3 linked regions of the Mus musculus genome follow. The protein of the gene in region 3 interacts with the protein of the main gene of each other region in a pairwise test. Links are inferred from orthologs where the notes say so. Each region holds a gene or a part of one and is shown on either strand. Other genes may lie near its edges.

Evidence for each region.
Region 1: the proteins of Mob3c (region 3) and Zbtb10 interact in binary tests that used the Homo sapiens proteins (3 or more experiments, as listed by UniProt). The link is inferred for Mus musculus from reciprocal best matches to the Homo sapiens genes MOB3C and ZBTB10.
Region 2: the proteins of Mob3c (region 3) and Fam118a interact in binary tests that used the Homo sapiens proteins (3 or more experiments, as listed by UniProt). The link is inferred for Mus musculus from reciprocal best matches to the Homo sapiens genes MOB3C and FAM118A.

What each region holds. Positions count from the first base shown.
Region 1 is NC_000069.6:9,247,890-9,255,234, forward strand, and holds the start of Zbtb10 (zinc finger and BTB domain-containing protein 10), read left to right. Parts: upstream 1-2,677; 5' UTR 2,678-3,240; coding exon 3,241-4,191; intron 4,192-7,345. UniProt on the Homo sapiens protein: May be involved in transcriptional regulation.
Region 2 is NC_000081.6:85,033,787-85,041,137, reverse strand, and holds the start of Fam118a (protein FAM118A), read right to left. Parts: upstream 4,077-7,351; 5' UTR 3,894-4,076; intron 2,367-3,893; exon of another isoform or gene 2,186-2,366; coding exon of another isoform or gene 2,174-2,185; intron 1-2,173.
Region 3 is NC_000070.6:115,825,516-115,833,018, reverse strand, and holds the start of Mob3c (MOB kinase activator 3C), read right to left. Parts: upstream 4,940-7,503; 5' UTR 4,778-4,939; intron 4,393-4,777; exon of another isoform or gene 4,293-4,392; intron 3,074-4,292; exon of another isoform or gene 3,008-3,073; intron 1,797-3,007; 5' UTR 1,748-1,796; coding exon 1,330-1,747; intron 675-1,329; coding exon of another isoform or gene 664-674; exon of another isoform or gene 1-663. UniProt on the Homo sapiens protein: May regulate the activity of kinases.

The sequences.
Region 1 (7,345 bases), on a different chromosome or scaffold from region 3:
CTGGGGTGGTTAAAATATAATGTATTTATTTGCAAAATGCTTAGAGTCTTAAAAAAAAAAAACACATTGAAAACCAAGCATGTCATTGTCACACTTTTCCATACTACAGCAGCCACAGCAGGCAGGTTTTCCTTCTTCCTCCAAGGTGTATGGCACAGAACTGTCTGAAAAATCACCAACCAGAACTCACCAACTCACTCTGAGGGCCTTTATCCAAGTACAGGGCCTACGGCACCTGATGGCAGGTGGCAGTACGGGTAGATGATAGGAAGACACCCCAAGTCAAAGCTTTTGGTGGCATGGAAGTCCCCTCAGTCAGCTCACCGAAATTATGTTGTCATAGGTGACAAGTTTACACAAGTAAACTCAAACTCACTTTAGAATTCATCAATTTTATTTCATATACAAAACTTCATTACACCAGGTACCAAAATTAAGGCGAATTAAGTCAAAGTGGCTTTGAAAAATCTAAATCGACACAGCTCAACACTCGTCTTGGGCTTAGTTCAATCAGAAGTGTTAAGGAAACTGGGCATGGGGCTCTCACCTTTAATCCTAGCCTGGACTAAGGCAGGATTGCTGTGAATTACAGGTAGCCTCATCTATACAGTGCTTTCTAGGACAACCAGGGACATAGAGTGAGACCTGTATAAACAAATCAAAAGTTCCATTGAGGTAAGTTGGGCATGGTGACAGACCCAGGCTGGAGAGTTCAAGGCCAGCAGGCTACATAATAATGCTGTCTCAAAAAAAAGTGTTAGCAAATATTAATTTATAACACTGAGAAAATGTGCTTTAAAAACTTGTGTGCATGGGCATTGTTCCTGCAGGTATGTCTGTCTGTGCACCATGTGTGCCTGGTACCTGAGCAAATCCCCTGTTGCTGCTATTACAGGCTCTGAGCCTCCATACACTTACACAGGCAGTCGCCATACACAGGCTCTGGGAACTTAACTCTTGAGTCCTCAGACACAACAGCCATCAATCTGAATTTTAAAACTTGAAAGATGAGAGACCACCATTTATCAACTGCTCTCTTCACTCCACTCCCACCCCAAAAGGGAAACTCCAGGTGGGTGGATGTCTGTGGGTTCAAAGCCACTCTTGCCTAGTGAGTTCCAGGACAGCTAGGGCTACATAGTCTTAAAAAAAAAAAAAGAAAGAAAGAAAGAAAGAAAGAAAGAAAGAAAGAAAGAAAGAAAGAAAGAAAGAAAGAAAGAAAATTAGCCGGGTGTGGTGGCACACGCCTTTAATCCCAGCACTTGGGAGGCAGAGGCAGGTGGATTTCTGAGTTCGAGGCCAGCCTGGTCTACAGAGTGAGTTCCAAGACAGCCAGGGCTACACAGAGAAACCCTGACTCGAAAAACAAAAACAAAACAAAACAAAACAAAAAATTAAGAAAGGCAGGGGGAAAAAAAACAGGAAAGAAAGCCTGAAATAGGCTCAAACATACGAATTTTTAAATTAAGCTTGTGCAACATGGTGGTTCACACCTGTAATACCAGAACTCGAGATACTGAGGCAGGATCTTTGTGTGTATCCCTGGCTGACCTAAAATGTAGACTAGGCTGGCCTTGACCCTGTTTCAAAAATCGCTCCCAATAAATAACAGATAAATCGACCTCACTTTGTGAATTAATGAGTGTAAACGTGCTAATGTTTTCCAAATAGAGCATAGTTAATGGGGAGGGTGAGTTTAAGGGTTCTTAATTGGCAAGGCCTCTTTCTGAAAAACAAAAACAAAAAAGTAAACTAATATAACTTAGGGAGGTTCATTTCCAGCTTAGACCGATGTAATCACTCTAAATTCCATACGCGATGCCAAGAGCTTTTCTCAAAATCCTAAAAATTAATTCTCATCTACACACCCTGTCTTCGGAGCTGCACTCCCTTCGCGGCCGCACGCGGCGCCCGCAGCAGCTGACTCCTCCCCGTTCATGGGGAAAACCCTGCCTAATATTTATAACGCTATGACATACTGTAATACTCACAAGGTGGTTGTAGAAGTATAAACACGACTGGAGATATCTGATTGGCTGCTGGTGATGTAACACCCATGTCAATACTTCCCACTGAACGCACGTGTTCGACCTTTTATTTAAATTTCCATTTCATCACAGCAATAAGACACTCGGGGCGGTGCATTTTCTGCGAAACGATCGTCGCCCGGGGCCAGAGGTGCTGCCCGGCGTACACAAGGAGCCCAAGGAGGTGTCCTCGCGAGGGAGGCACCGCCTGGTCCAGTCTTTTGTGCAGGAACAAAATAAGTTCACTTCCTCGGGCACGGCCACCCACCCCTCCCCCGGCAGATGACAGGGCCGGGCGCGCTCCCACCGCACTTACTCCTGGAGTCCCAGGTGAAGTCGTGGCGAGAGCCGGGGACCGTGCGCACGGGCGCGCCGCGGCGAGCCGGCCCCTGACACCCGCCAGCTGTTTGTCCTGGCCGAGCCGGCCCCGCCCCGAGACCCCAGCCCGTGCCCCGCCCGCTTCCTTCCCGTGGCCGCACCCCCGCCCGCGGGCCCGAGCGGCCGGCCCCTTTCCCGGTCCCCGGGCGCCCCCGGCCCAGCCCAGCCCGGCCCAGCCCGCCCCCTCCCCCGGCCGGCCCCCACCCTCTCCCCCTCCAGCGGTTACTGCTACCCCGGTGCATTGTGGGCGCACGGTCCGTTGTTCATTTGCCATTCGACCTCCGCCAGGGCCTGGTCGGACGGAAACGCTCCGCCGGCTTTATTGTCGGCTCGCTATGTGGCGGAGCCTGGCGGCTTAGCGCGCCTCTCGCGTCCGCGCCTCGGCAGCCGGCGGCGGCGACACGACTCCCCCCGAGGACGGAGATCTGTTGGCGGGCCGGTGTGTGCGCGCAGCGCTGAAGCGGGGCAGCGGAGGGGCAACCGCACTCCTCCTCAACTTCGAAGGCCGCACGCGCCCGGCTCGCCGCTCCGCTGCCCGCCCACCGCTCCGCGCGGGACGCTGCCCGGAGCGCGGCGGGGCGCGGGTGGAGAGGACGCGGCTGGGACGGCGGCGGCAGTAGACGCGTGCGGCGGCCCGGGAGCGAGCGCGAGCCGGCGGGAGGGTGAGGCCGGGCCGGCGGGAGCGCAGCGCAGAGCGGCGCAGCGCAGCGCCGGGGGCGGGGGCGGGGGCGAAGCGTTGGGGGAGCCGCGGCGAGCGCGCGGGACGCGGCCGGAGCCCGGGCGCGAGCCGAGGCACCGGGCGGCGGCGGCGGCGGCGGTGACCGCGGCGCGCGCCATGTCGTTCAGTGAGATGAACCGCAGGACGCTGGCGTTCCGAGGAGGCGGGTTGGTCACCGGCGGCGGCGGCCCCACGAACAATAACGCTGGCGGGGAGGCCTCTTCTTGGCCTCCGCAGCCGCAACCGCGACTGCCCGCGCCGCCCGCGCCGCAGCAGCCGAATGGGCGCGGGGCCGACGAGGAAATGGAATTGGAGGGCCTGGAGCCCCAGGACTCGGAGGCCGCCGCCGGCGCGGCCGCCGCCGAGGACGTCAAGGAGTTGCTGCTGCTCCCTCAGGACACGGGCGGCCCCTCCTTGCTGGGCGGCGGCGCGGGGGGCCCCCTGCTAGCGGAAAGGAACCGTCGGACTCTGGCCTTCCGCGGGGGAGGCGGCGGGGGTCTCGGCAACAATGGCAGCAGCCGCGGCCGCCCGGAGACCTCGGCGTGGCCCCTCAGGCATTTCAATGGGCGAGGGCCGGCGGCCGTGGATCCGGAGCTGGACGCGCTGGAGGGGAAGGAGTGGATGCAGGACGGGGCGTCCCTGAGCTACAGCACCGAGGAGGAGGGGGCGAGCCCGGGCGATGGCAGTGGGGCGGAAGGCGGCAGCTGCAGCAGCAGCAGGCGGTCGGGCGGCGATGGTGGGGACGAAGCGGAGGGCAGCGGTGTGGGAGCTGGCGAAGGAGAGACTGTCCAGCACTTCCCGCTCGCGAGGCCCAAGTCCCTCTTGCAGAAGCTCCAGTGCTCCTTCCAGACCTCTTGGCTCAAGGACTTCCCTTGGCTGCGGTACTCCAAGGATACCGGCCTTATGTTCTGCGGATGGTGCCAAAAGATCCCCGAGGATGGGGGCGGCGTGGACCTTACCCAGGTGGGGCATGATGAGCTTTCGCGAGGGACCCGCAACTACAAGAAAACCCTGCTCCTAAGGCACCACGTCTCCACCGAACACAAACTCCACGAAGCCAACGCCCAGGTACCGTAGATCCTGCCTTTGCTTTTCGACCACATCTTTTGGGAAAGGTTTATCAGTGGGGAAGACTAAAACTAAAGTAAAGAAGGGGGGAAATTAAGATCCTCCGGGGGAAGACTCACTTCGTTCCGATCGAGAGAGGTTCGCGAGAGCTTATGCGTAGGGGTTTAGAAAGCCTGGAAACAAAGTTTTCCAAAGTTGTGGATCTATTGGGGGAGGAGGGGTAGAAGGACAGTTTTCTAATGATATCGCTGGGTTTATCTTCTTTTTCGAGTTAGGGTTTGCCTGTGAGATTGAATCCGAGAGAGAGGCTGGGAGAGGTTGGAGATTTTAACCTTTGATTGACTTTCGGTCAAAAAGGATTTTTTTTTTTAAGTCAGAGGAGATTTTAGAACTGTCCCTTCTTGTGTTCGTAGACACTAAAGTACTAGAAGTAGCCTGAAGAATGGATTAAACAGTTTCCTTAAGCTTCGGTGCTACAGGCTGTCCACTCTTAAACTCGTGTCAGGTCGAGATAATGTGAAATATGAGAGGCTTATGCAAATGTACAGGAAGTTAGTTCAGTAGGGTAAATAATTTTACGATGTCCGTCTCTGTTAAACTTGTTTGGTATAATCATTGTACACTTTAGCTAGTTACTTACTGATATTTCTCTTCTGAGTGTATTATCCTTTTCAAAAACATGGTCGTGAATAGCTTATATGAAGGGTGTTAATCTTAGCTCTGGAAATGTTTAATGTGAAGTGATTTGGGCTTCATTTGCTCACTGGAAACCTAGTTACAGAGCAAGCCTACCTATGAGCTTTAGTCCCCCTCCCCCCTTTTTACAGGAGCCTGACCGTTTTGATAGCCCTTTTCAAGTCAAATAGCTGTTGGTCAGTCTTCCTTTTTATGACTCAGACAACCTGTGGTGGTGGGTGGAATTGATTCTTTTGTGTTGCTGACCGACACTCAGGTATTAGTACCTCACCATGGTGTTTATGGGAGCCATCCTGCTGCTCAGCACACTTACACTATAGTTTATTAGTCACACAAGTAACCCAGCTTAGAGAGGCTTTAGTTTTAAAAGCATGGGTTATTTTGTTTGGTTGGGTTTTTTTTTTTTCCCCCAGAAGGCAGGGAAATGGAGCTTGTTTGGGTTGAGTTTTTATTTGCACAAAATTTCCTAAATCTTAGAAAGGTCTCTCCCCTATCCGCCCCCCCCTTCTTTCTCTCCTCTCTAGGGTCTCTGGCTACCTTGGAGCTCTTAAGTATATAGACCAGGCTGGTTTCAAACTCACCGATCTGCCTGCCTCTGGAGTGCTGGGATTAAAGGTGTGTGCTACCACACCTTCTGAAGGTCACTTACTTTTAAGATGTAAAGCCCATTTAGTAAATTGCCTTAAACCCTGGATGACAGCCTGAGGCTAGTGCTTATAAAGACTTTTGTAATGGGGGAAAAAGTGAGCTTTGAGCAAATGCAGGTTCTGATCTCAGTTTTCTTTATCACTACCTTTGGAGTTTGTCCTGGAAGTTTGATAGGCCTGACACTTTTGTTTTAGCTGTATCAGACTCATTTACATTATCCAGGAAAGTAAATTTGTTTCCTTTTATAGAAGAAGCATTTCAGTCATTAAAGGGTTAAGGCTTTTCAGTCTTTAAGAGTTAAGTAATAAATACCTGGAAGTATTTAGTAAGATGATAGAAGCTGTGGCTTGTGAAAAATGGAAGGCTGAATTTTCCAAGTATTGGTATGTAAGTATTTTAGATTTTTTTAATTGGAATGAGTTTTTAAATCTAGTATTTAGAATATTCTGTTCTGTAGGCAAACATGAGTGGGACTAAAAATTAGCTGCTCAGTGATCCATAACTCAGAGGGGATTAGGTGGATAATCTTATGGTCCACCCTAGTAAATGGGTGTATCCTGCAGGCGTGTACCTAGGTCTCCAGAGCTCAGTTCTAGGGAAAAACCTTTTGTCAACTTGACTCTGAACTACCCTTTCCATTTCCCGACGACATGGTGGTTTTGTGTGAGGTAGGAGCCATCCCACTTTTTAAGACTTGGGTTAACGCCTTAAACTTGAGGAGTTATGTATTGGTTTCCTTGGTTGAATTTTAGGTGTTACCACTTCATCATTTATCTTCACTTGTGACTAACCTTTGTTTGAGGAATAGCTTATTCTTCCAAGAAACACCTGTAAAGTCTCTTTCCCTTGTTAACAGTGACCGGTTCCTAGCAGGATTTGATGGGGTGGGGGTTGTGTGGTTGTTGTTGCCCTGTAGCCTTTGGTTACCTTTAGGAGGCAGTGTAACATTCTGTAAGAACATTCTTGGGTCCTGGTCCTCTAACCGTTATTTTGTATCATGCTTATTTTATTATAGCTTACTCTTAGACAAGCGTGAAGACAGTGTCTTGTCCCCTGGTTGGCCTCATGCCTGCTTTGACCCTCTTACCTATTTCTCAATGTTTGGACTCCTGGCCCACCAGGCCCCAGTGAGGGTTTAACTAGTGTTGGGTAGCTGATCTGGTACCTTACCCTGGGTAGACCCAAGCTCTCACTGCTGAGCAGCACTCCCCACGCCCAAGATTGGTTTATTTCCTGGTCCCTCGTTCATAAGTGCCAGCGTTTACATTTTTATCTTACTACAACAGAATCTTGGGTAGCATGGTTTGACCTCAGAATGTCTTTGTGTCATCCATTTTGAAGCCACTTTGTAATGGTATTATTCTTGAATGGAGAGCAGATTATTTCCCCATTCATACTTTCCAAGACTGAGGCCCATAAGCCTGGGCATTTTGAGTTTTTCTCACTATAAATGTAATTCAGTTTCATAGTGTCCTGTATTATTAGCTTCCTCATTTTAAAAATGAGATGGAAGCTGCTGAAGAGATGGCTCGGTGGTTAAGAGTGCTTGTTGCTCTTCACAAGGTGAGGTCTGGTTGTCATCACATGGTAGCTCATAGCCATCCATAATTCCAGTTGCCAGGGCATCCAGCAGGCGCAAATGTGATGCATGTGTGTGTGGTCATACATATAAAGCTCATGGGAAGTGAAAATATGAAGGTCATCTTCAGGTATATACCTGAGAGACAGTGTAAAAATAAAATACTGTATGTGAGTTCTGAAACTCAGGAAGGGCTGAGTTTGACCTGGGCATGCTGTCAACATTCTCTTA
Region 2 (7,351 bases), on a different chromosome or scaffold from region 3:
CCTGCAAGAAGATGTAGAGTCACGGGCTGCAGCTCAATCCCACTGAAGGAAAAGTGAACAGAAACTCAAAACCCACTTCCTTCTCCCAGCAGGAGGGGCAGGCATCACTCTTACAAAGCAAGTGGGCAGCAGGACCCTGAGGACACACCGGCAGATGGCAGGAGATGTAGGTGAGCAGTAGTTTGCCTAGCATGCACAATGCCCTGTGTTCCATCCCCAGCACCTCACTAACCAAATGCAGGCTTTGAACACACCTGCAGTCAGTCAGATGGGACAGGAGAAAAGGACCCTTTGCCACCTTCCTAATTAGACAGGGGCTCTCTCTGACCATCAAGTCCCAGGGCTCTCCCAGTCTCTGCCCCCTACAAAGGTGTAGGGGCCTCCATAGCCATACACAGTTTTTAAGAGGGTGTTGGGGATTCAAACTTAGGTCCTAGTTCTTGTGCTGCACAGAGTTGTCCACTGACCTCTGCACATACTGTGTGCTACATACATTCACACATATCATACACAGGATGACTTTGACGATGATGATGGCTATAATACACATTCTAAAAAAGAAAAAGCAAACCCCACAAGCACAACTGAAACAGTTAAGACCATAGTTCCTTCAAAGTATAGCACTACTCATGAAAGCACACATCTGCAATCCCAGATTTTTGGAGATAGAGGCAGGAGGATTAGAAGTTCAGTGAAACTTAGCTATGTAGAATTTTAAGGCTAGCCTGGGCGCATGAGATTCTATCCCAAAAGAATTAAAATTGCTGCTTTTAGGGAAAATCACACAAAGCACTCTGCATGCACACTCTCAGTCAAGTGCCAACAGCTCTCAGTGCCAACTCAGTCAGCTCTAGAGGCAGCCACCACCACGCTGCAGTCCTGCCCCTGTTCTACCACCAGTGTGCAGGGATGCCAAGGGACACATAGGAAGCTTTTCCAGAAACCTGACACCCACGGCACTGTTTCAGTCTGCCCATCAGGGGGGACAAGTCCTGTAAGGCAGGTCTTTACATCACTTTATAAGTCAGTGGAGGTTAAAAAAAAAAAAACAAAAAACACCCCAACCTGAGCCCAAGTGAACCCCCACCCCCAAACCCAGAAGATGCAGAAGAGATGCTCTATAGAAAAACTACAAAACTTGGGCTAGAGATATGGCTCAGGGGTTAAGAACACTTACTGCTCTTCCAAAGGTCCTTGAGTTCAAATCCCAGCAACCATATGGTTGCTCATAACCATTTGATGAGCACTTCTGGTGTGTCTGAAGACAGCTACAGTGTACTCATATAAGTAAATAAATCTTAAAAACAAAACAAAAACAAAAAAACCACTACAAAACTTTAGAGCTGGAGGGATCTAGGGTTTCTATAATGACAAATGGCTTCATTTCTTTGAGGTGAAAGCTGAGACTCCAGTAATTTGGCCAGCATCTTCCCACTTCTGGCTCTAACTCACTTCTGGCTTACCCCGATTCCTTTCACTCTCAGCTCAGGCCTACCTACGCCCTGCAGCCCCAGGCCTCCCTGTCACGCTCCTAGGTCATCCTGGGCCCCAAGGTTGGCTGCTACGTTTTGCCTGTGGGACTTCTGCCATTCTCCAGAAACACACCATCAGAAAGCCCAGAACATGGACAGACAGACAGATGGACACAGATACACACACACAGCCAACCCCGACAGCTCTGTCACACAGCTGCCTGCAGAACACAGTAACTTTAGCAGAATTGATAAGGAGAGCTAAACAAGAGGTATGGCCATGTCTCCAGGCAGAAGGCTGGGGAGGAAAGACAGGTACACAACCCAGAAGGGCCCAGCCAACAACAGTTTGCTGTGCTGCTTACAGCCTTGCGTGGCTCACCCTGAGACTGTTCCTCACACGTGAAAAAGGAAGAGTGTGTCCAAGCCAGGTGGCCAGAGGCATTCCATGGGATAATATCAGAGAAGCCTACATGCTTCCCAGGACCCCTAGATTTAACCCATTAAATGCCAGTCCTGCCACTGTAGGTATATTCTAAGTACCTATCAGTCACGTGTGGCTGTGGTAGCCACAGAAAGCCCTCCTGCACTAGGCTATCTCCATTTCCCTCTCCTTCTCCCAAATCCGGCTTCATCCATTATTCCTTATAATCCCTAGTTCACTGCCTACAGTAGTGCATGTCACACCTTCCAGTGCTCACCTGTCTGGACATCGACACCTCCTGCTTGCAGCTTCAACCCCTCCAGGTACACATCCGAACTCGTCTCCTTCAGTACCTTCCCCTTTCCTTCAGGACTCCCCCGCTGACTTCAGTCCCTCTTCCCCCTACCGGAAGCAGTGTGTCTTATACTTGGATAGCAGACACCCTGGTGAGGCGCTAAGGTGAGTACCACCTATAAGCAAACAGATAAAAATCTCACCTAAAAAAAGTTCCCGTGTCAGTGCCCCAAGCTCGAAGCCTGGGCTTTCAGCTCAGTCAAGCTCTAGAGAGCTACTGAACCACACGGCCTGGGTCCAAGTCATTCCTACCTTTTGTGGTCTTTTGGCCTACAAAAAAAAGTCGCTCCACCACAGCTAAAGTGACCACTGGAAAAAATATGTAAGCCAGGACTAGGGACATGGCTCAGTCACCAGTCAGTCTGACCTGTGAACATAAGGCCTGGGTGTGATCCTCAGAACTCCTCAACCTTTAAGAGTCTGCTTCCCTGTTACCTCTTGCATCCCCTTCCCTCACCCCAGCTACTCTCTAGAACCCCCAAGCCCCAGCTGCCTTGAAGGCACTCTTAAGTACCACCAACTTGGCTAATCCCCACCTCCCAACCCTTACCAGCTGGAGCTGTGTCATCTGCCTCCAGCACCCAGCACTGGGCCGCAGAGGGTATCCACTCCCTCTTTAAAAATGCCTGGCCCTTGCCTTTCACAATCATCAGGCCATGTTCTTTCTTGGGGCTTTACCTCAGGGTACCAGACTGCCGGTGTAGCAAGCAAGTCAAGGACTGTTTATCAATGACAATAGCCCGAGGAAAGGATAATCCTTGTTCTAGAGATTTCCAGGACTGAAAATGATAAGATGTGTACCATTTGGCCCCAAACCTCCACCTCAGGGAAGACAGCCACCCTTAAATCAGGATCCCAGAAAGATGGACCTTTAGTTTACCTTCGTCCCATCAATTAGACCACTGTAATCAAGCTTTACTTTCCTGGACTGGTTTTGGTGGGCTGTGTGTGGTAACAGAAACTACCACACATTGAGGGCACAATCTAAAAGAGCTTTGACTGCCCAACTCCCGTTACTCCCAGCGCTGCCATTCTCCACAATGAGTCGGTCCCACACCAGCCTCCACTGCACGGTGAAAACAAACGCACATGCGAAGCCCCACATCCCACCTCCTCTTTGGTTATGCGTGGTCCTCTGTTGACCTATCAGATGGTGCTACTTTTATCCCTATTTACAATTCACAAACCTCAAGAACACTCTAGTAGAAGCTGAAAAGCTCTGTGGACCTCAAGATAGAGAGCAGGAGGCAGGAGATCCTAGGAAGGAAGGTCTCTAGGGATAGGTGGGTCTGAAGGCCTCTCCACCCAAGAAAGGATGGGAGTCTATGGGCCTGGAGACCCGAAGCTTTGGAGTTGGACCAGAGGGGATCTGTTGGACTTCTGGAGAAGATATAACGGTCTCGGGCCCTGAAGCCGCCGAGGTCTGTGTGCTGAGTCTGAGGGAAATCTGGAGGATGGTGAGGTTTTCTAGGTGTGGAAGGTAATCAGGTCCACAGGTGGCCGCGGACCCAGGCAGCCCAGGGGATGTCGGAGGCAGGGTCCCCAGCGCATCAGAGGGCACTAGGGTCCTGGGCACCCTAGGCGGGTTTTGAGGGCTGGGGAGACGCGAGGCGCTGGCACCCAGCCCCGACCCGCCGCCTCACCTGCCGTGCCACGGAGACACCAGTGTCGCTCGCGCTCTCGCCGCCTCCCACCCGGGTCGCGCCCCTTCGGCTGGGTGGAGCCGCCGGGCGCTGCGCCGGATGGCGCTGCGCGTGCACCACGCCGAGCCTGCCCAGCCGAATCCGCAGCGCTCTCTCAAGGCCTTCCCCCCGCGCGCGCGCACTGCCCGCGCGAACGTTCCGCCCTGAAATCAACGGCCCCGCGGCAACGGGAAGCCCCGCCCGAAGGGGCGTGGCCACGACGCGTCCCGCCCCCAAGAGAAGCTACGATTGGACCCACGGACTGTGCTGTCGTGTCCACGATGAGCCTGGTCTTAAGAGACTGAATGTCTCGCGGCCAGTCTTCCCAGCGCTGTTTTGTCTTCAGTTTCCCCATCTGCACGCCTGGACAGCCCCGCGGAAACGCAGAAGGCGTTGAGCTCGGCCGGAACCACCCTTGGGCAACCACTTCCAGCCGGGCTCACTCCATCTACCTCAAGCCACAGGCTGTACAGCCTGTGCCCTTCCCCAGCCTAGCATGCTTCACGTCCTCCCCGCAGTGACCGACTCCCTTACCACGTGTCAGAGTAGGCGTCTGGCCCTTCCGATGTGCCTCTTGGACACGTCTAGCTTGGGCTTAGATCCAGGGACTAATGAGCATATGTACCCAGGTTCAGCACCTGTTAATCGGGTGAACTCAGTGCCCACCCCGAACGTTCGAGAGTACACGTGGGTGGGCTCTGCGCTGGAGCACTCAGCATGAGGACCTTTAAAAGTCAATGACACCTCTCCTTTCTCTAAATAAGGCTGGGATGGATCAAAGCCTATTTCCTCTTCCTCATCTTCCCAGGTCGGCCTGCCCAGGCAAGTTATTTGGACTTCCTCTACCTCTGGCTCCTTTTTTTCTACATGGGTTTGCTGTAAGCATCCCTTCAGCCCCATAAGAAAAATGCATGTGTAATAAAACCTGGGTTTTTGTTCTTTTCTTTTTGAGACAGGGTTTTATGTGGCTTTGGCTGTCCTAGAACTAGCGCTGTAGAACAGGCTGGCCTCAAGCTCACAGAGTTCCACCTACTCTGTGGGTGTAAGGTATACAAAATCACTACCTGGCCAGCTTGAAATTTGTGGCACCAGAGCCCAGAACAGTGGTTTGAACACCTGAGTCTGGGTACCTACTAAGTAGCTGGCCTTTGAGAAAATGTTTTTTTCAGTCCTCAGGACATCTCCCATGAGGATGGCACCCCATTTACTGCAATTAACAGCAGGAGAGGAGGAAGCCCAGAGAAGTTGTATTGGCAATACCAACCATGCATTGGCTTCAAAGGTCTGGGCTTCCCACTACTAGACTGAACAATTTACATGTGATGCAATTTAGTTCACAAGCTCCTGCTTCCATAAAGGGTCCTAAGACTTGAACCTGTGACACTGGAGAAGTTCCCGGGTTACAGGAAGGAAGTTGTTCAAGGAGACTGTAGGCTAGGAGCTGAGGAGTTAGAACCCACAGCACACCACCCACACACTGGATGCCCTCCAAGATCCAGTGTGGCAGAGCCTCAGTAATCCCAACTCTCCATCTAAGGTCAACACAGATCGGAAGTCTCTGCCCATTCAGCCAAGCAGCTTTACAAGGGCAAACCCACAGAAGGGACAAAAGGGACACCTTAGAAACAATGCCCTCCTCTGTATCCAAGAGAGACAGATGAACACTTTCTACCCAGCCTGGCAGTACTAGGATCACCCTGATTTACAGGGAGTCTCAGAAAACTGCTTTAATCCCTGTCCACTGTGTTCATTCTGAGTAGATAATGTAGCGCCCGCCAGTGTGTTCCTGCAGTGCGTCATTCAGGTAGGCTGAACAAATTCATGAATAGGTGTGTGCACAAAATATGTTTCATGGCATGAGTTCAACAGACCAGATTCCTTTCTTTGTTATACCAAAGGTGGCCTTGGAGGCAAGCAGCAGTGGCTACCCCAGGAGATGTCAGTCTGTTTGAAATGCAAGTGCCTGTGGAAGTCTGCGAGAGTAATGATTACAAAGCACAAACTATGTGCTAAACTTCCCTGTGACACCTCTTCCTTCACTCTCACAGCAACCCTGTGCAGTAAGGATTGTGACTTTTTTCCCCCACAGATTCAGAAAACAGAGTCAGGAATGGGGAGATGTCTCCTTGTGGGTAAAGCATTTGCCATGCAGTCATGAAGACCTGAGTTTGAATCCCCAGAGCCCACCTAAAAGTCAGGCATGGTGGCACATCCACAGTGAGATGAGAGGCAAAGACCCGAGGAATTCCAGAAGCTCCAAAGCCAGCGAGTCTGGCTCATGACATTGTGAACAACATAAGACGGACCCTGACCCAAACCCACAGAGAAGTTTGTCCTCAGATCTCCACAGTAATGCCATGGATACACACACACACACACACACACACACACACACACACACAGGGACTTAACTGGTCAGTCAAGCTGCTTCAGTGTGCTGCTGTCTGGTTTGCTACAGAAAGAACTTTGCACAACCAGAAAGGAAAGAACTGCCAGACTCAGTGAGAAATGCTAGGGTGGTAGAAAAGACACAACAGGTGTCCCACGACAACATATTGTCACCCCCTCACACCCACACACGCCCACCAGAGATGAAGCTAATGCTTTATTTATTTATTTATTTATTTTTGGTTTTTCGAGACAGGGTTTCTCTGTATAGCTCTGGCTGTCCTGGAACTCACTTTGTAGACCAGGCTGGCTTTGAACTCAGAAATCTGCCTGCCTCTGCCTCCCAAGTGCTGGGATTAAAGGCCTGTGTTTCGTTCAGCCAGTGGCTCACATGCCTAGGTTCTAGTCTGGAAAGGCATCTTGGAAACCTGGAAGAGAAGAGGGGGGCTAGGCGGCATGTATGCGCGCGCATGCGGGGGGGGGGGGGACCAAGACAGGCAGTCTGATCAAGGTTCAATTTTATTATTTCTGACACTCAGTTATGAAGCAGGGGAAGGGGCCCGATTCCCGCCAAATCATCTTGGAGTAAGGTTGCAGGTGAACACGTGATAGCTCCGGAACAGCTAGGTGGCAGGCAGCAGCAGTGGGAGTGGCAGGACGATAGGGCAGCAAGCTCTGCCCCAGGCTCTCTAACACTGAAACCTGAGCAAACTGGTTTCAGGCTAGGGAGGGGAGGTTACAGGCCTGCACCACCACTGCCGGGCTGAAGCTGGTGCTTTATAATAAAATTGGAATGCCTCCAGCAAACAGACCCTGCATCAGTGTACAGGGGGGCAAACAACAGATCTTGAGTCACTACCGCAGCCTATATAGATACCAAGCACTATAGCCACTTGCAGGTATGTGTCATCCTGCATGCAAGCCATAAACACTAAAGACAGAGGAACCAACAAAGACCCTCACCCTGCTCCACACACACCCAAAGTCGTCCAGGTTTCCCTGCCTCTGAGCAGAAAGGATGATGCAAGATG
Region 3 (7,503 bases):
ACTGCTTCAGAATAGCATTCATTCCTTCAGATATTCAATAATATAAGGGACTTTCCCTCTGTGAGCCCAGCTGTGAGCTGGGCCCTTTGTACCTCTGCCCTCTGCTCTTCACAATTGTGCTGATGGCTCTGATAGTCATTCCAGATATGATAAAATGTAGGTAATGTGTAAAGGTGAAGCCACCCGCCTGAGGACCCATAATTATTACTTAGTACGAACCGGAGGCAGGACTCAAACCCTCTTTGCACAGCAGTACCTCTTAGAGATAAATAATATCAATCCTGCCTGGCCAGGAAAGGCCACTAGAGGCATGGGAAAGCCAGTGCATGTGCAGGCCCCACATCCAGGCCAGAGATCCTGGTGGTTTACACCCTCATTTCTACTATGACAGAATCATCCAGTCATCTAGTGGAAAGTTTACCCAGGGCTCACAAACCCAGGGATGTAGGCTAGAGGAAATAAGAGCCAGGATCAGACTAAGCCCTAGTCCATACACATCCTTCCTTCCCACTGTTCCCTGGGGCTTGTGCTCTGCCTCTCTGAGAACCCAGCCTAGTCCCCACACTCCTGCCCTACTTATCTGGACAATGGCATCTGGTCCCCACAACACAGAATTCCAGTTCTGAAGCCTTTTCTATTCAGTGTGCTATCCCACCATTGGCCTCAGTTTCCTCCTGTGTAAAATGAAGGTACCTGTTGCACACAACACTGCAGGAAATGGTAGCAACAGCTGGGGAGGGGGCGGTGCTTGAATTGTGACTCAGTGCCCAGCTTTCCCCAGCATTCAGACTTCTTCCCTCGGGGCTAGACCATCTGCCCCACCCACTTGAGTCTCTATAGCCCAGGAGGATGCTGGGACCCAGTTTGCAGGTGGGGCTTCTGTGATGAATACAGTTCAGCTTCTGGGTGGGGTCCCTGGGCCAGGGTGACATTATTCATCTCCTATCCACACCCTACCTGCCCAAGTCCAGCTGGACCCAACTAGTCTGTGGAAAAGATACCAAAAATTTTGGGCCAATCCAGCTTCCAATCCTTCCTGTCCCTGAAGCCAGGATTCAGAGGGGACTCTGGGGAGGCTGGAAGCAAGATCAGCCCAAGCGCAACAATATATCACTTGTTCTGGAGAGTGGAAAAATGGGGTTTGTGACATGCTGGGATAGTTCACAGTGAAACACTCATGTTTTAGACACGAGGTGCCCCAAATGGGAATTAGATAGTCCTTGTTAAATGTTTGATCATAACCAAGATGCTGCCTCAACCGGTTTCCTCTTCCACAATATGGGAAGGACCTTCCCTGGCTAGGCTACCTCTCCAGTCATCAGTGCTCACCCACACGTGTAGGAAAGACATCCTCATCATTGATGAGACCCTCGATCCAGTCCATGAGCAATGCCATATAGCGGGGTGCTGAGAGCTTGGCGGGCCTTCGGTACTGACGCTCGTCCTGCCAGCGGTACTCGTAGCGGGGCCCACCAGCCATGACTGGGCAGCTGCTCTCACTGCAGTGCTCAGCCATGGTGCCATAGATGAGGTTGATACGGTTGAAGAAGTCCACCACATGCACAGCGATCCAGTCATCGATGCTCTCCCCAGGCGGCAGCCTCACCACACTCCGAAGGTCCAGGCCGGACTTGAGTGAAGCTTGTGCCTTCTTATATAGCTCAAAGCGCTGTGTGCCAGGCTCGAAGCGCTTCCGGGGCCGGAAAGTCTTGTCCTTCGCAAACACCTGTTTCAGACACAGTGCCATGGCCAGGCGGGTGCAGCTGGATCTCTCGGCACAGGGACTTGAAGATGACCTGCCAGAGACAGGGGCAGGGGAAGTAGTGGTCAGGGCCTTAGAAAGTGGGTTTTGACTTCCCAACACATCATTTTTCTCTAAGCTGTCAGCCCGGGGACAGTTTCTTTACCTCCATGAAACTCTCATCCCCAGCAGCGTCAAATCCTTTGTGGTCTACTTTAGCCGCACACCCCACCCCTGAAGCAGCGCCACAAGCCTTTCTTTCTGCTTCCTTTCCTCCCTGCTTTCTTGAAATCTTGCAGAGGGTGTGCCCTGGGCTCCAAACCGGTGCTTACAGGACTTACTGTTGAGCTTTACAGAAGTGACAGAGGGTTTTGCAGGCCCCAGACAAGGTATCCTCTGGAAGCCCCATAGGCCATCTGTGTAGTGAGAGAGCCTGGCTGCGCTGTACTTGAGAGGGGGGTGGACTTTGAGTTCCTCTGGGATATCCCGAAGTCCATCTGGCCACCGGGGATTCCCAGGGAACAGAAGGGACTTTTCTACCAAAAATGTCTTTTCCGTTTTCTTTACACTGAAAGAGGAAAGGGCCCTCACAAGGCCAGCTGAGTGGCCTTAAGTGTGGCTGCAGGCTCTGCAGGAAGAGGAGGGTGGCAGGCCCAGAACAGTGTTACTTCCTCTGACAGACACTAGAGTTCCTTTCCTCAAAGCTAACCCCTCCTTCAATTCCCAAACAGTATGAGCCGCTGACCTTCCCCTTGCACCCAACACTCCATGGATTTTCAGCATGCCTACTATGTATGCACCTAGCACTGGGGGCTGGGGTAGAACAGCCAGACTCACCCTACCTGTCCTTCTGCATGTTTGCGTTACCTCTTAGAATAGAAGGATCCCAGACTCAGCACAGACTTCAGGGAGCATCCACCAGAGTCTCCCAAAGTCCTGGGATCTTGTCCCTGCTTCAAAACTAGCTTGCTTGCATCACCATGGATTTAGTCCATGCGAATCCTTGAACACCCTACAGGTAGGTGTCTGAGCATCTCAGGCATTTCATCTCGCGCACCAATATACATGAGCTATTGGAGGACGCAGATCCAGGCAATGGCCAAGACTGCAACAGCCACAGACTGAACACGGACCCTGAACACAGACTTATAAACTAAGCTCAAGTTCCATGCTAAATTCTGGCTTGCCCCCAGCCCTGGTTAGTCTGAGCCCTGAGCCTCACACTGAATGAGGCTTGAGACAGTGGCAGAGAAAGCTTATCCTTACCTCTGACTGCCTCTGACTCAACTTTGAAGCAAGTTTCCTTTTTCATTGATAACTGCTGGGGCAGGACTGGGGAAGAAAGGGAGGGGATAAGGCATTTCTGAGGCCTCCGCTTTCCTTTGGCCTCCCCATTACTGATTGATTGTTACAGATTCTCTCACTCTGCCTTTCAATTCCACAGCCTACCTTTCCTGACCCACCGGCCTCCAGCAGCCACCCTGGGATTCTTCTTGATCCCTAAACATGTCCTCACTGTCCTGCCTGTGTGTCTTTTGCTGGTCAGTTTCTGTTTTCTCTTTCTATCTGACCGAATGATCCCTTCTTTGGCAGCTTCCTCCAGATCCCAACCTTGTGTGTGGCTTCTCTGACTGCTTGTTCCTACCCCTCTCCGTCAGGACTTAAGTTGGTGGCTAGGCTTTAGCTTAGACTCTAGAGTCTTAGAGTTGGCTGGGGAGATGTCTCAGTGGGTAAACTTGCCTGAGTTTGATTCTTGGGACCAACATGGTGGAAGGAGAGCACTCCCACAAACTGTCTCTGACCTCCACATGTGCACTGTAATGCGCACATAAATGTGTGTGTTCCCGAGCTCATACGTGCATGCATGAGCAAGTGTGTGGACACACATAAATAAATGTAATTAAGTTTTGAAAGTAAATCTTGCCTCTCAATAAATGAAAAGTGAGGGGGAAAGAACTGATATCAGCTCTGGGCCTCCATCTCTGCATGCCCATCTTCATATACCCACAGCACCACACACACACACACACACACACACACACACACACACATACACACACACGTTGGGATAGCTGAGAGGTCAAGTGGTACGTCCCACATGAACAGATGGCGAAACTGAGGCCTAGGAGGAGGATTTGAGGAGCCTGAATTTGCACAGCAAGTTAGAAGTAGGGGACTGGTATAAAAAGGGACTCAGCCTATGACAAGGTACAAAGTGTCCCTTTCCTGCTGTCTGGCCACTGGCCTGATATAGATAATTGTGAAGGAAGGGAGTAGAGAGGCCCCACCTCCTTAGTATAGAACTTTAGGCCCCAGGACTTTTCCTAGAAAGAGTAAACTTGGAGGTGAGTACGGAAGGTAAGCTAAGAGGGCATCCCGTCTGTTAGCACTATCCTCTCCCAGCCTCACACGGAGCCTCTCTTCCTCTTCCCTGTGGACCCCCCACTTTAATTACTAGGTAGGTGGTCAGTGGTTTGCTTACTCCGTGACCAAGCATTTAATCTTCCTAGATGAAGAGCACAGGCTGACTGACACTGCCTGTTTGTCTTACCTCGTCCCCTGCCAGGGACACACCTGCTCCTTCCTTAGTCTGGCTTAGAATCAGCCAGAAGATGGTCCCAGTTTGAACTCAGAATCTAGCCTAGCACGCCCTGCGGGACAAGATCTAAGTTTGAGATTCTCAGAGAAAGAGGGAGCGACAGACGCAGCGCTGTCCAGCCAGACCCGCCCCTACCTCCCGCGAGCTCCTAAGAACCTCCCCTTAGCTTCAGCTGTTAGGGCCAAACAGGTCCTAGGACCCAGAGGAGCCAGCCTGACATTTCCGCTCCTGAAGACACGCCCCCCACCACCGCCAGCTACCGCCACCCCCACCCCGGACTTCGGACACTGAGAGCCTCGGACCCTGGGCTGAGGACTGTGGCCAGCCTGCTTTTGGGCCGGAGTCGCTTCCAGAAGGTGCCACGCGAGGACCAAGAAGAACTAAAAGTGGAAGCAAGACTGGGCCCTGGGGGGCGCGGAGACGCGGCGCTCACTCACCCGCTCCGCCTGAGTGGACAGCTCCGGGTCTCTGTCCCTGCGGCCACACCGCAACGCGCCGGTCGTCCTCCGGCCTGTGATCCCGCCGTGCGGGTCTCAGCGTCTACCCACCAGTCTGATCTGGGCCGCGGCCGCCGTCCCGCCGCCAGTGCTCGAGGAGACGCCAGCTCCGCCCCAGGCTCAGCCACGCCGCGGCCACGGGGCGGGGAGGGGCGGGGAAAGGGACTCCCCCGTCCCAGGATACTTACTCTTCTCTTTAGCCTTTCCGGGAAGTGGGAAGTCCGATCGGGCTCGCTGTCTCCCCGAGGGCAAAGGACTAACTGAGGAGCCGCCCCAAAGGACCGCCTGGATCTTCCCTAAGGAGATAGCCTCAGATTCATAGGCTGTAGAATGGGAACAAGTTTAGCTTCCGCCTGAAGCAGAAAGAAAAACCGCTGTGGTTTGAATGGTTTCCTAGCCCTCCTGCAGTTATCTGAGCTTCACTTGTCTTTGAATTCAATAAAAGTTCCTAGCAGCCAATGTGTTCAGCTTCAGTCCACTGCCATACAGAGCAACTCAAAACCCACCACTGGAGGCTGCTGCTGGTGGATGGCGCATGTCTTTAATTTCAACACTAGCGAGGTAGAGGCAGGCAAATCTTTGAGTTCCAGGCTGCTAGCCAGCCAGGCTAGCCAGGGCTAGGTGGTAAGATGGTCTCTCTCTCTCTTAAAAACAAAACAAAACAAAACAAAACAAAACAAAACAAAACAAAACACCAAAACCAAAACCAAACCAAACCAAACCAAAACAACCAAACACTTAAATGAATAGCACACGTATGGGAGCCGTGGACTGGGTCAGTCCAGACAGAAACATTCCCAAAGAATGTTCAAAGAAGACCTCGCCTTCCTTGCACCTGGTTCTGGTTCTGTAGACTCTCACACCATCCAAAGTTACCCATTTCCTATCTTCCTTTGTCTCTGTTGTTCTTTAGAATGGCTTCTCTCCCAGCCTGTTCCATCTGGCTCCAAACCTTTGCATACTTGATCTACACTACCCACTCTTCTACCTAGATTCCTCCCCTGGAAACAGGCTGCTATCCCACATCAGTGCTCAATGCATACCATGGCTTGGCCCCAGGAACCTGTCTGCAGGATCTGCCTAGGGTGAGGAGGTTGAAGACAGAGTTCTACTAGGTGAGTGCTATGGTTAACCTTCATTGTTAGCTTCACTAGCTTCGGAACTACCAAGGAGTCGCCTCTCTGGGAGTGTGTATTCCCAAGGGGTTGTTTAACTGAGGAGGACTGGCTCTCCTTGAATGTGTCTCCTGCCATCCTGAACTAAACTAACAGAAAGGTGGGTGAGGGTGGGGGAGCCAATAGAGCACAGGTGTCCATCCACCTCCATTTCTTCACCACTGTTCCAGACTCTTGCTGTCACAGCTTAGAGCCTGTCTTGACATACTTTCCCTACCATGGTGGACTGCACTCTCAAACTGTGAGCCAAAACAAAAAGCTTTTCCTTAGTATTTTGTTACAGCATAAAAAGTAAGTACCACAGAAGGCCAAGGCAGGCAGCTGGGCTGCCGAAGACATCCCGGAGGACATGAAAGCGAGAAGGAGTGACTGCGGAGACATTGGAGCCTGAGGCTTTATACTGAGACACAACTGCTCCATTGGATTCCCTGGCTCTGGGTCTGCTTTCTCAACCACATGAGAACACACTTAGATCCTTAAGAATTTTAGGTTAGGGGTTGGATAGATGGCTCAGCCGTTAAGAGCACTGACTGCTCTTCCAGAGGTCCTGAGTTCAATTCCCAGCAACCACATGGTGGCTCAAAACCATCTGACACCCTTTTCTGGTGTGTTTGGAAAGAGCAATGGTGTACTCATATACATAAAGTAAATAAATCCTCTTTAAAAAAGAATTTTAGGTTAGAACTGAGGACTCATCTTTGACTAGGGGCTTCTCTCTATCTTCCTCTCTTTCTCTCTTCCTTTCTTTTAAATTTATTTATGTATGAGTGCTCTGTTGCATGTACACATACATGCAAGCCAGAAGAGGGCATCAGATCCCTTTATAGATGGTTGTGAGCCACCATGTGGGTACTGGGAATTGAACTCAGGACCTGTGGAAGAACAGTCAGTGCCCTTAACCACTAAGCCCTCTCTCCAGCCCCGTAAGGACTTATTTCTTCTCCAGCATAAAATTTCTTATAAACTTTTACATGTTGATGGAATTCACATTTGACATACTGTCAATTTGATATAATTATCAGAGCATTTTTGTTGAGTGTGACAGTGTGCTGAGATTAAGATGATGAATCAGTCACTGATTTCAGGTGCTGACAGATCAGCAGCTGCAACACAACATATGCAGGTAACCATGTCAGAGCTTAGTCGTTCAGAGATAGAAGTGGGGTACATAATGCACTGATGGTCCAATGCTAGGCAAGGGTGGGGATATTCACAGGCAACCCAGAGCACCCTGTTTTGAGGAGACTTTAACAGTGGCACTGCATATAGATGTAACTAGTTGTAGGGAAGCCATGTACAGACTATACCACCAATGAGATAGCAAGGACTGCAGATAGCTGTCAGCAACCCTAAGCTGAGGTACACTGGGAATAGGAGATATGAGAAGGCTATAGCTAGCTCTGTGGCCTAAGGTGGAGACCATACCCAGATCATAGCAGTCAAGAGAAAAACTACTGGTCAATAAGGGTCTCATTTCCCTCTCTTCTCTGG